3 linked regions of the Tamandua tetradactyla genome follow. The protein of the gene in region 1 interacts with the protein of each later gene in a pairwise test. Links are inferred from orthologs where the notes say so. Each region holds a gene or a part of one and is shown on either strand. Other genes may lie near its edges. The genes, in order: RAP1GDS1, NRAS and RAC1.

Region 1 (3,752 bases):
TTTTCTATTATCATATATTCTGCCAATTTCACTGTTTATTTACCTGGCGCTTGTAGATATTTGAGTTTGCTGTCCTTCATATTTTTGTTATAGCTTCTAAGTTAATAAAAATTTTATTGGATTCAAAATTGTAATACATTTAAACTTATATTACTTTTTGAAGATTAATTTATTTAAAATTAATTTTGAAAACTAATACAGAAACATAATTAGTCAAGAGCAAAGTTAACTGCCTGTAATACATGGTCATCAATCATACTTAAACCAAATTCTCAATTGATCAGAATGATATAAAAAATCAGAGAGAGAGGGGATGGAATATCTGCCCTTCCATAAACTAATTGTGTAGTGTAACCTTTGGCAAGTTACTTAAACTGTTCAAATCTCCATTTCATATCTAATTTAAAAATTAGTCACAATTTTGTATATGTTCTGATGAAGAATAATATTTTTAAAATCTTTTTATTTTGAAATAATTTCAAACTTATAAGGCAGTTGCAAAAATAATACAAAATTCGTACAGAATACTCCAACATACCTCTCACCCAGATACCCAAATCTACCAGCTTTTAACATTTTGCCACATTTGCTGTTTCATTCTATTTATTTATCTGCCTGTCTCTCCATCTCTTTATCAGTCTGTTAGTTTGTCAGGATGTCTGTTTTTCTATTTTTTAAATATCTGAGACTTGATTTTATACATCATGCTCCTTGACTATTAGTACTTTCACGTACATTTCCTAAGATCAAGGGTATTCATTTATATAACTGCCTTAAGTACAGTTATCAAGCTCAGGGTATTTTATATTGACATAAAGCTTACAGGCTATATTACCTATTTTCTTAAGTCCCAGTAATGTTCTTTTGGGCCTTTTCTCCACCATCATTAGATCCAGTCCAGAATTACTTGTTGCATTTGATTGTCATTGCCCTTTTTCATCACTTCATTCATTTTGAGGCTGCTGAGTAACATTCCATTGTATGTTGTACTGTTTTAAGTCTCTTGTGTTTCCCAGAAAAGCCTTTGCTCTTTTAATCCATTCTTGGGGGTGCAGACCTATTGTGGGTAGGACATTTTAATTAGTCTTTTTCAATTGAGATGTGACCCAGCCCATTCAAGGTGGACCTTAATCCTTCACTGGAGTCCATTTTGTAGATAGCCAGTGAAACCAGAAGCCAGGAGAAAAGTGCTCAGAGACATTTTGGAGAGAAGGACCAGCAGATGTCACTATGTGCCTTCCTATGTGACAGGAACCCCAGATGCCAGCAGCCTTTCTTGAGAAAACGTATGTTGGTGCCCTAATTTGGACAGTTTCATGACCTTAGAAGTGTAAATTTGTAACCTAATACGATTGAAAAAGCCAACCCATTTCTGATATTTTGTGTTCTGACAGCTTTAACAAACTGAAATATATGTGTATACCACATTTTATTTATCCATTCATCTGCTGATGAACATTTGGGTTGCTTCTTCCTTTTGGCTATTGTAAGTAATGCTGTTATGAATATTGGTGTACAAATATTTCTGCCCGAGTACCTGCCTTCAGTTCTTTTGAGTATATGCCTAAAAGTAGGAATTGCTAGGTTATATGGTAGTTCTATGTTTAACTTTTTGAGGAATTGCCAACTGTTTTCTGCAACAGCTGCAGTCTTACAAATTTCCACTGGTAATGTACTAAGGTTCCTATTTCTCTGAATCTTTATCAATTATTTTCTGTTTTATTATTATTTTTCTTATTTTAATGACAGCCATTCTAGTGGATATGATTTAGTATCTCATTGTGGTTTGGTTTGTGTTTCCCTAATGGCTAATGATATTGAATATCTTTTCATGTGCGTATTGGCCCATGGAAAAATGTCTGTTCTTTGGAGAAATGTCTGAGTCTGCTTTTTAATTGGTTTTTGTCTTTTTGTCTAGTGAAGAATCTTAATCAAAACTTTTTGAAAGTTTGAGTATATAACCCCACACATTTATCTTTATTCTATATAAGTCTGTAAAAATTTCAGTAAATTCTCCAGTAAAATTTCCTTTTATCCAAATCACATTAATTGTTTCTTGTCTGGTCTTCCTTCCCTGTCAGGTATGTCCTAGGATCCAGGGCAGAAATTGGAAGCAGGATATCTCTTATCCCTGAATTTCAGTGCTAGGAGCCAAAGAGATATAGATCCTGAAGAAGTAGTGATGGCCACAGCTAAGATACTAAGTCCCAGATCGCTGTATTAATCTGAGGAGCTAAGTAGGTTACTAGAACTAAGAAATAAATACAATGGGGCTGAGAAATGAGGAAAAATGGCATAATAAAGTAAACCAGTAGATCACTGTTCTGGAAGAATTCTGGTAATAGAGTACTGATAGCTGCTTTTTGTGTCTCTGGCTGGTTTGCAGGCACATAATAGATATAAGAAGCTAGAGCATGGCAAATAACTTTCATGTATTTTACTTTTAGACAGTGTTTTTCTCTATTATTGGCTCAATTAGGTTGCCTGTACAGTAGTCAAGTTTGAAAGTATATAGTTTCCAGCATCAAGAGTTACTTTTGTGTATCAAGGTCATTCCAGCAATTCTTGTACAGAAGCTGTTTGTAAAGACAGATTACAGATTTTTATCAATATTGCTCCAGTCTTATACTTGAGTTTAAATTTTTTTGTTAGATACCACTGAATTCTGTTGATTTATTTATATTAATTTTCCAAGTTGACTTATTACATCCTGGGTATTGACCACTATTTGATATGATAGTATCTTAAATCTTTCCATTTTGGGAAACGATTTAGGAGAGAAAATCTCCCTGATATATATTTTTTTAGTCAGTACTGAGATAAAGAATTAATAAAGCCTGGATCTCAGTCCAAACAGTATTTGCTAATAAAAAAGACTGTGTATTAACTTACTAGCAATTTGAGTCATGTCATATCCAAGGACTCTATTTAACAGGTATAAATCAGTGAAATAATTCTTGGACTCTTAAGTGAAAAGGTATTTTTGCATTGTGTGAAATAAAATTTTACAAACTCATATTTTTATCCCTTGTAGTTTAATAATCTACTTATAAAGATCATCTGTCATACTCTTGACCCTTTAATCAAACATGCCAAGTAAGACTACAATGTTTCTGGTTCAAACTAAAATGAAATTTAAATCCATTTAATGATGAATGGAAAGTGACTGCTTAGAAGTTTTTCTCTACTTACAGTGAAATATAGTCATTGTTTTTAGTGGAATGCGTCTTAAAAAAATATTTCTTAATCCTGGCAGTTCACATAATAACATGTAATAAAAGATGCAAGTTCAGGTAACTCAGAAAATAACATAGCATGTCGGATTTATGAAGTTCCCACTATGGAAAATAGTTTGAATATCCTAGAAGAATTTCCTGCTCTAGATGAATTTTTCATCTGATAGTAGAAATAAACAAAAATAGTTTTTATAAGCCCAAGTTTATAAAAACTAGCAACATGAAAAGTACAGAAAAATTAGAGTTCTATGAAATTTTATGGGAATAGTTTCTTAAATAAATTTACAAAATTATTTATAAAGTATAAATTTGGAATTTAGTCTCTTGGCATATAGTAAGGATTGACTAAATTAATCTAAGCCCTTATATTTTGTATGAAATCATAATCTTCTTATCTGAGATAAGGTGGGTAAGTGATGCAAAATGTGAAATTATAATCAACTTGTAGAGTAGAAAAGTATGTATCTAGTGACTAGATAGATAAATGGATAGCTGATGGGTGGGGACAGAGTTATG
Region 2 (3,752 bases), on another chromosome or scaffold:
CCAACAGGCAGGTTTCACCGTCTATTACCACCTGTTTTCGGTAGGAATCCTGAGGGTTTGGAAGGCAGGTGATGCGGAGAGAGGAATTCAATTTTTATTAAAACCACAGGGAATGCAATATTATTGCCAAAGTTAAATAGATTTCCAACTATTCAAGTCCATTTCTATCTGGTTTGCATCTCAAACTGCTAATATATAATCGCAAACAGAAAGCACTTGTCGCCATGGGAAAAAAGCCCCAAATCCTATATGCCTGCAGAAAGGAAAATGTGGTCACTCTGTTCCTGGAAAAGATGAAAATACATGGTAATTTACAAAAGAGCTCTAATGGAGTTAGGAAATTAGACATTAAATTCATATAGTAAGGTTTAAATCCGAAGTATTCTTATTTGAGCTGTTTATTCTACTTTTAAAATGTTAAACATACCTCCAATTATAAACCAAGCCTGGACATAGTGTCATTTGTGTTTACAACTAAATACACAAATTTTGGATACAAGATCAAAAAGTTTTTCCTCATCATGACAGACTGTACATTTGGGAAATAATCAAGTTTTTAAAAGTTCCTAACAGGTACAGTTATAATTAATTCCTTAGGAAGACAGACATGCACAGATCATATAAAAAATAATTCCAACTTGGCTTTGTTCAATCTAGGGATTCAGTTTAAAGAAAATAATATCATCATTCTTAGTAAAGATCTGCTCTGAAACAGAAAACACCTTTTTCCTGACCCATGGATCAACTCCTCTGTCACTCACTTCACGGTCAATCTCTAAATTTACTCTTTCAAATTAACATAGAATTCACTTTAATATAACTTTCGTGAAGTAGGAGAGATGGTTAATTTTATGTGTTTTGAGGAAATGAGCAAAATTACAACTTAAATACAGATTCAGGCAAAATGGATTTAGAGAAGTCAGAAAAGTGGTTATTTACAGGTGGTATGGGGAAGGTTATTAACTGGAAAGATATATGAGAGAATGATCTGGATGGTGATTACACGGATGTATAAGGATGTAAAAAAATCAATGAACTGCAGACTGAGTGTAAATTACAATAAGAAATTTGTATTTCTTACAGTGTAGTTTACACACAGTCTTCTAAAAAGCGTCTAAGCATTGATAATGAAGCTGTCAAGGCTGAAATAAAGATTTCTGTCAAGGATTATAATCAATTTTTAATAGTGACTATGTTAGAGTTGGTGTGCACTGATTAAACACTCAGTAGGCGGGTTGTAGGAAGGCCAAGTTGTTGAAGCTGTGGATTAAAACAATTTCTAAATGGTTCAGTGGTAGAATGCTCACCTTCCACACGGGAGACCTGGGTTCAATTTCCAGATCAGGTACTGCCACCCCCCCCCCCCAAAAAAACCCTAAACATTTCCAGAATTCGTAATTTCTAAATCGAATACAATTTAAAAATCTTATTTAAAGGGCCTTAGAACAAGTACTATTTTTGAGGTGCTTTACCACTCACAAGTAATTCAAGCATATAATCTTACTTGATTTTCACAACACCCTTATGTGGTAAGCAGGACATGTTTATGGCAATTTAATAAATGAAAAAGACTAGGACTTATTCTATATCACATAAGTAAGCAGCAAACAGGACTTGAATCCTAGGCATAGTGACTCAAAATCTTATGTACTTTTTACATCAACCTATGGTCTCGCCTGCTTCAACTAGAGAAGAAATTTTAAACTGAGGACTATCCAGGTCTCTGAATCCTTTATTTTCATCACACTATTATCTATGGCCTGTTTCTATTTGATAGAGATGTCATATGTGAAACTGAATGAGGTCAACTACTGAGTTTGCAACAATTTTTAGAGCTGTTAAAAACTATGAACTTTTGAGAACACTTCAACAGTTTGTAAAAACTCTTCTCTATAAACATGGAAAATTGTACTTATATTACTGAATGCAGTATTCAAGAAAATCTTTTACTTTCTTTCGTACATATTTATTCCTTTAGCTGGTAAAGGGAAAGACTGAAAGTGAGAGCTAGGGTCAACATACCACCACGGGGCCTCACCTCTATGGTGGGATCATACTCATCTACAAAGTGGTTCTGGATTAGCTGGATTGTCAGGGCGCTTTTCCCAACACCACCTGCTCCAACCACCACCAGTTTGTACTCAGTCATTTCACACCCGCAAGAATCTGTGAGAAAGCAGCAATTACGGTTAATTGAAGAGGAACATCTACAGTACTTCAAAGTCTCCTATAATCAATAGTTACTAGAACTGGGATTGAAATTTATAGGTCGGCTTCACACACGTGACTCTTCATTTGGTTCTCAAAGTGATTCAGGAACGCAGAAACACTTGCAGGTTAATCAGGGCTTCAGAGTTCTGGATTCTACTCTTCTGGCTTCCCCCACCCTCATCTATTTTTTCAGCAGTCCTTGGGCCCCGCCCTCAGCCTAAGGTAAAGGAGCAACCCCCCACTCCCACCCCTCCCGCAAGACTTTCCAGTTCTGGGGGAAGGCCTACAGGCCGCCCTCCCGCCTGTCTCCAAAGATCGCCTACAACGAAGGACCCCCGCCCAGGGCCTTTGTCTCCAGCTCGCAGATTCCGCTCCGCTCCTGGCATCAAAGAGGCGGCCGTGCGCTTAAAAGCCGAAGGCTACACACGCTGGAGCCTTACCTCAAGCTCCGCTGCCTCCGCTTCGCACAGATTCAGGACTACAACCGGGAAAAATGCTGGAGACCCCGGAACCGCCATGAACAGCCCCCACCAGGGAGCGGCACTTCCGGCCCCGCCCGCTACGTAATCAGCCTGTGCCCCGGGCGCCCGAGGCCCCGCCCTGGCCACGTGGGCCGCCGACCTAGGAGTCACGCGGAACGCCCCACCCATACCCGCCCCTCCCACACGGGATACTTCAATAATGAAAGCGCTGGGTGCTATTGTCTCAAAAATCAGTAAAACTTTATTCGCTTCCATTCTTTCGCCATTAACAGAAAATTGGAGAAAGCAAAATGTTTTGTTACAAAGATAAACGGCCTCTACCCAGAGATCAAACGACAACGGGGAAGATGAAGTGCCCTCCCCCACACCCCCTGAGCTGACCATTCTCATCTTAGACAAAGCCTTCTGTCCACTGGCCAGGGACCCTGAATGAGGCCAATTCAAGATGAGGGCCAAGAAATCAGACCAATCCATTCCCGTGATATAAAGTCAAACAAGCTACACCAAGGCTCAAGTGCCTGTGTTTTACAGGACACAGGAACCAGGGGGCTACTCATAAAGAAAACAAGATTCATTTCAGGCACAACTTTTTTTTTTATTTTTTTTTTAAATCAGTAAAAGAAACTGGGTCCTAGAAGCTGCAGTGATCTAAGCAGCAAGTTTGTGCATTCGTCCTTTTTTGTTTGTTTAAATACGTTTAAATTATCACACTGCCGGCACACCTCATTTGCATGAAATTCTGCACCAAACATACTAATTGTAGTAAAGTTATCCCCCATCCCACGAAGGAAAAAAAACCTACTCTGTAAGAGAATTTTCACTGAAATCTAACCAAACTTCGTTAAGTGGACTGTGACAAGATTATAAATGATATGAAAAATAACATTTTAACATTTGGCCATTAACTTAAGGAAATGGTTTGCCTATACATTGTTTAATTTTTGTAATTTTAATAGGTAATGTATTCTACCCTCATACCGTCTTCAGAAGTAAAGCATAATGAAAAAGAAAAGAATGCAACTGAGTGCTATGGCAAAACATCTTGCCTGAAGTAATGAG
Region 3 (3,752 bases), on another chromosome or scaffold:
GCAGTTTGAGAAACCTCAATTTGGTTTATTTTTACTTTCTGGCTTTTCAAAATTTCTTTGTTTCGTTGTTTTTTTCTCTCAATTTGTTTTTATTACTTAAAATTTGCCTTTAAATTGCTTGAAATTCCACATTACGTTACTTCTTCAGCCCCCCCAAGATTTAAAACCACACAATTTTTTAATAAAAAGAAAATTCCAACTATATCATCAGACATGTGATTAGAAGCTAACAAATATTTCTAGGATAGGGAATTATGGATCTAGATTTTCACTGAAATAATGGTTGGCACTTATTATCTCTAATTTAAAGTATTATGGCTTGGTGGGGGTTTTCTTGAAAGGTACATTTCACTTCTAATGCTGCTTGGCCCTAGTCAAATCAGTATCAAATAAAGGATTAAAAATTCAACGTCAGTAACTCTGCCTAACACTTCCTCCCCGACCTAGCAGTGAATAAGAATAATGGTAGCTGGCACTTCCTGAGCAGTCACTATGGGGCGGGAACCGACAAGGTGCTTACTATCCAGCTTCTTATTTAATTCCCACAACTTTCCCTTGAGGCACCTCTCTTGGGAGATGACCTGCTCAAGATTACCCCACAAGTAAATGGTGAGGTGGGGACTTGACTTGATGGGAGGATTCAATTCTCGAAGTTTTCAACAAGTATCTGACTAGAATAAATAAGCCAATACCCATTTATCTAGATCCATAACCCGTTAGTATTAAATAAATATACCTACTAGCGCTTATGTTTTAGTTTCTGACATTTTAAATTGAGAATATTACATACTATGGCTATTAATACTGAATTATCAGCAATTCACTGCTTCCTTAAAAAAATTAGTCTGTATTATTTCATATGCTAACATTACCGATTCGGCCTTTTTAACTTTTAAAGGAAATGCAGATAACTAAGAATGATTATTAGACAAAGTGATATCTGTTGAGTTCATTCATGATGCAAAAGAATCAAAACTTCATGTAAAAGAATCTTGTTTTCCTTATTAAACCAACTAAATGAACTTTTTTTTCCACCCTAAATGACAGAAAGTAAAGCTGTCTTCTGCAAGGTTAAAAAATATATTTCTGAGTGAAACGATTTTTAATTATATGCATAGAACCATGAAGTGTTCAGAATTCTTCACACTTGTGAGTCTGACAAATCAGTCAGATGGGCGGCTTAAAAAAATTCAGTTGCCTAATTGTTCTTGCATCTGAATAAGTTAGAGGAACAACTTCGAATGCCTAAAATTATCTAAATAAGCTGGGAAATCACAAATCACTTTAGAGACTAAGAGCTAAATTGGTACCAATGACAAGTATGGAGAACACTAATCAAAAAGAAGAACGATGCCAAAACAATTCCCTCGACTTTGCACGCTGGGAAACGTACCAGTTGCATTCTGAGTTTGACGAAACTGGTAGTAGTTCTTCAAGCTTCCTTGTTAACGCTAAAACTACACAAGCCATGCAGACACGCACAACTCTGCTAGGATTACACTGAGATTTTTGTTTCTACGGGAGGGGAGGGAAAAAACTGCATAAGTCAAGTCTTGTCTTCCTCGAGGGCCTGTGACCATCGGACAGCAATGAAAAGAAATGCCTTGAGTCACACAGGGCAACCCAGCTCAGGGAGCTTGCTCTGCTACATCCCATACCTAACACCCTAACGCACTCCCTCCCCTCCTTTTTAGCCCATATTCAATGAAGAGAAGAGTCGTAATCACATCCAGCTACTTCACAGCTAAACTCTTAAACGTTTCTCCCAGAAAGAGCAAACACCGTGACTCTAAAGCTCTAGGAGTGGCCAACAAGCCACTCATCAGAGCAAGTTTAGGGTCACCAAAGCAGCCCCGGAAACAGTGATCCAACAGTGTTAACTTGACAAGCGTTACCCGCCGCCACCGGGACACGGGAGGCGAAAAAGACAAACGAAAGGAGCGCGCTTAAAAAAAAAAAAAAGGCAAATTCCAAACGCCACCTAATCACCGTGCAAACGCGGGGAGGGCGGGGAGAGGCTTTCGGTGACTTCTGCCCTGGCGGGACGCGGGGCTCGGGAAGAAAGCGGGAGGGTGGGGTCCCCTTTTCCCTCCGGCCGGCACTCAATTCCCAACACCCACTTAAAAAAAAAAAAAAAGCCGGAACTAGGCACGCGGCGCCCCGCGGGCCCCGCGGAAGGTGGGAACGCCGCGGCCCTCAGAGAAGGCCGGGCGCAGGCCCCACGCGAGTCCGCGGTGCCGGCCGGACCTCGGCCTCCGCCAGGCCCGCCCCCGCGCGCGGCCCCCGCCCGGCCCGTCCGGGTCCGGTGCACTCACCCGTCTCCCACCACCACACACTTGATGGCCTGCATCTGGGCCGCTCGCTGGGCCGCGGCGGCGGCGGCGGCGACCGGACGCTGAGGTGAGGAGCGGCGGGCGCGGCACGCGGCAGGCTCGCGGCGCGGCGGGGCGCGGGGTGCCGGGACCGCTGTCCACGCCGCCTGGCCCTCAGTGCACTGGCAGCCAAAGCCCAGCTGCAGCCACCACCCAAAGCTGGCGGAAAACTGCAGAGAAACAGGAAATGGCCGCTCCACTCACATCCGGCCTCCCTTCCCCCGCCCTGGCGCCGCCGCTCCTAGGCTCCCGGGCGGGGCCGCTCCGGGGGCTTCCTCTCGGCCTCGGAGATGCTCGGGAATGCTCGGGAACGCTCGGGAGCGCTCGGCTCTCAACGCGGACGGACGGGGCTGGCCGCCATCTTTGCGCCGCTGACCGGGTCTTGGCCCGGGGACTAGTCTTCGAAGGAAGTCCTGAGTTCCCGGGAACAGCTTTTCTCTGAGAGCTGTCCCAGACCATCTGAAGGGCGTTGACAAACCCCCCCCTTTTTATTATCCTTTTTACGTGATAGTTAACATGACAGAAGGTTCTTTTAGGAAATTCGGAGTCCAAAACCAGAAAGAAGAAAGATGCATATAACACGCAGTTGCAGATATCACCAAGGTTCATTTGGCCAAAAATGTAAACTTTTCTCACGTATGCACTTTCTCTTATGTTTAATGTTTTGCGTGCCTGTTACTTCCTATGATTTGTACCAAGTTCTGAGGAGAAAACTGAACCAAAGTTCCTTTGCGTTGACGATGTTGGCACATCATTAATGTGCGGATGACATGTTTCCAATTAATTATTTTTTATATACATAATGAACATGTCAAAATTGAGAGGATCGCCCTGAGTCATTGTTAGAACCTCGTTAACATCGGCTTCCTATTCCGTTATACCGTAATGAATTCAACCAGTTCTAGTATTGTGGGGCAGATGGATTGTCTCTAAAAAGCAATGCTGAAAGGTACTTGCTTGTGCAAGAATCTTTGTCTATAGCTTAGTTGCTTTAGATTGTGTTCCCATAAATGGAGTTAGTGCATCAGTAGGGGTGAGTGTTTTTAAACCTCGATTCGTGTTGTTGCGTTGCCCCACTGGAAGGCAGTTACGCTCCCTGGTTAAGAGTGGACCCTCCTGGGAAGTTGATTTCTGATGTTTCATCTTGTGGGCCCTTCTCTTTCTATACCTCACTCTGTTGCCCACCCGTGTAACAGTCTTCTGAAATCAGATCTTTTCTGCACACATATTTAAGAAGAAAAAAAAGACCGTATTTATCTTGTAATTATTTCAACATGAATGTGTTCCCAGGGAAAGGATACCTTTTTGTGTTGTCGATACAGATCAGCCTTGAGTAGTTGAAATTTCAAGGGTAGTAGCGGAATAACATCCCCATTTCTG

What was found.
Region 2: the proteins of RAP1GDS1 (region 1) and NRAS interact in binary tests that used the Homo sapiens proteins (3 or more experiments, as listed by UniProt). The link is inferred for Tamandua tetradactyla from reciprocal best matches to the Homo sapiens genes RAP1GDS1 and NRAS.
Region 3: the proteins of RAP1GDS1 (region 1) and RAC1 interact in binary tests that used the Homo sapiens proteins (3 or more experiments, as listed by UniProt). The link is inferred for Tamandua tetradactyla from reciprocal best matches to the Homo sapiens genes RAP1GDS1 and RAC1.

The regions. Positions count from the first base shown.
Region 1 is NC_135350.1:27,504,615-27,508,366, reverse strand, and holds the start of RAP1GDS1 (rap1 GTPase-GDP dissociation stimulator 1), read left to right. Parts: upstream 1-1,054; 5' UTR 1,055-1,222; coding exon 1,223-1,286; intron 1,287-3,752. UniProt on the Homo sapiens protein: Acts as a GEF (guanine nucleotide exchange factor) for the Rho family of small GTP-binding proteins (G proteins) that stimulates the dissociation of GDP to enable subsequent binding of GTP.
Region 2 is NC_135337.1:6,612,192-6,615,943, reverse strand, and holds the start of NRAS (GTPase NRas), read right to left. Parts: upstream 2,779-3,752; 5' UTR 2,652-2,778; intron 2,167-2,651; 5' UTR 2,150-2,166; coding exon 2,039-2,149; intron 50-2,038; coding exon 1-49. UniProt on the Homo sapiens protein: Ras proteins bind GDP/GTP and possess intrinsic GTPase activity.
Region 3 is NC_135349.1:5,559,697-5,563,448, forward strand, and holds the start of RAC1 (ras-related C3 botulinum toxin substrate 1), read right to left. Parts: upstream 2,572-3,752; 5' UTR 2,351-2,571; coding exon 2,316-2,350; intron 1-2,315. UniProt on the Homo sapiens protein: Plasma membrane-associated small GTPase which cycles between active GTP-bound and inactive GDP-bound states.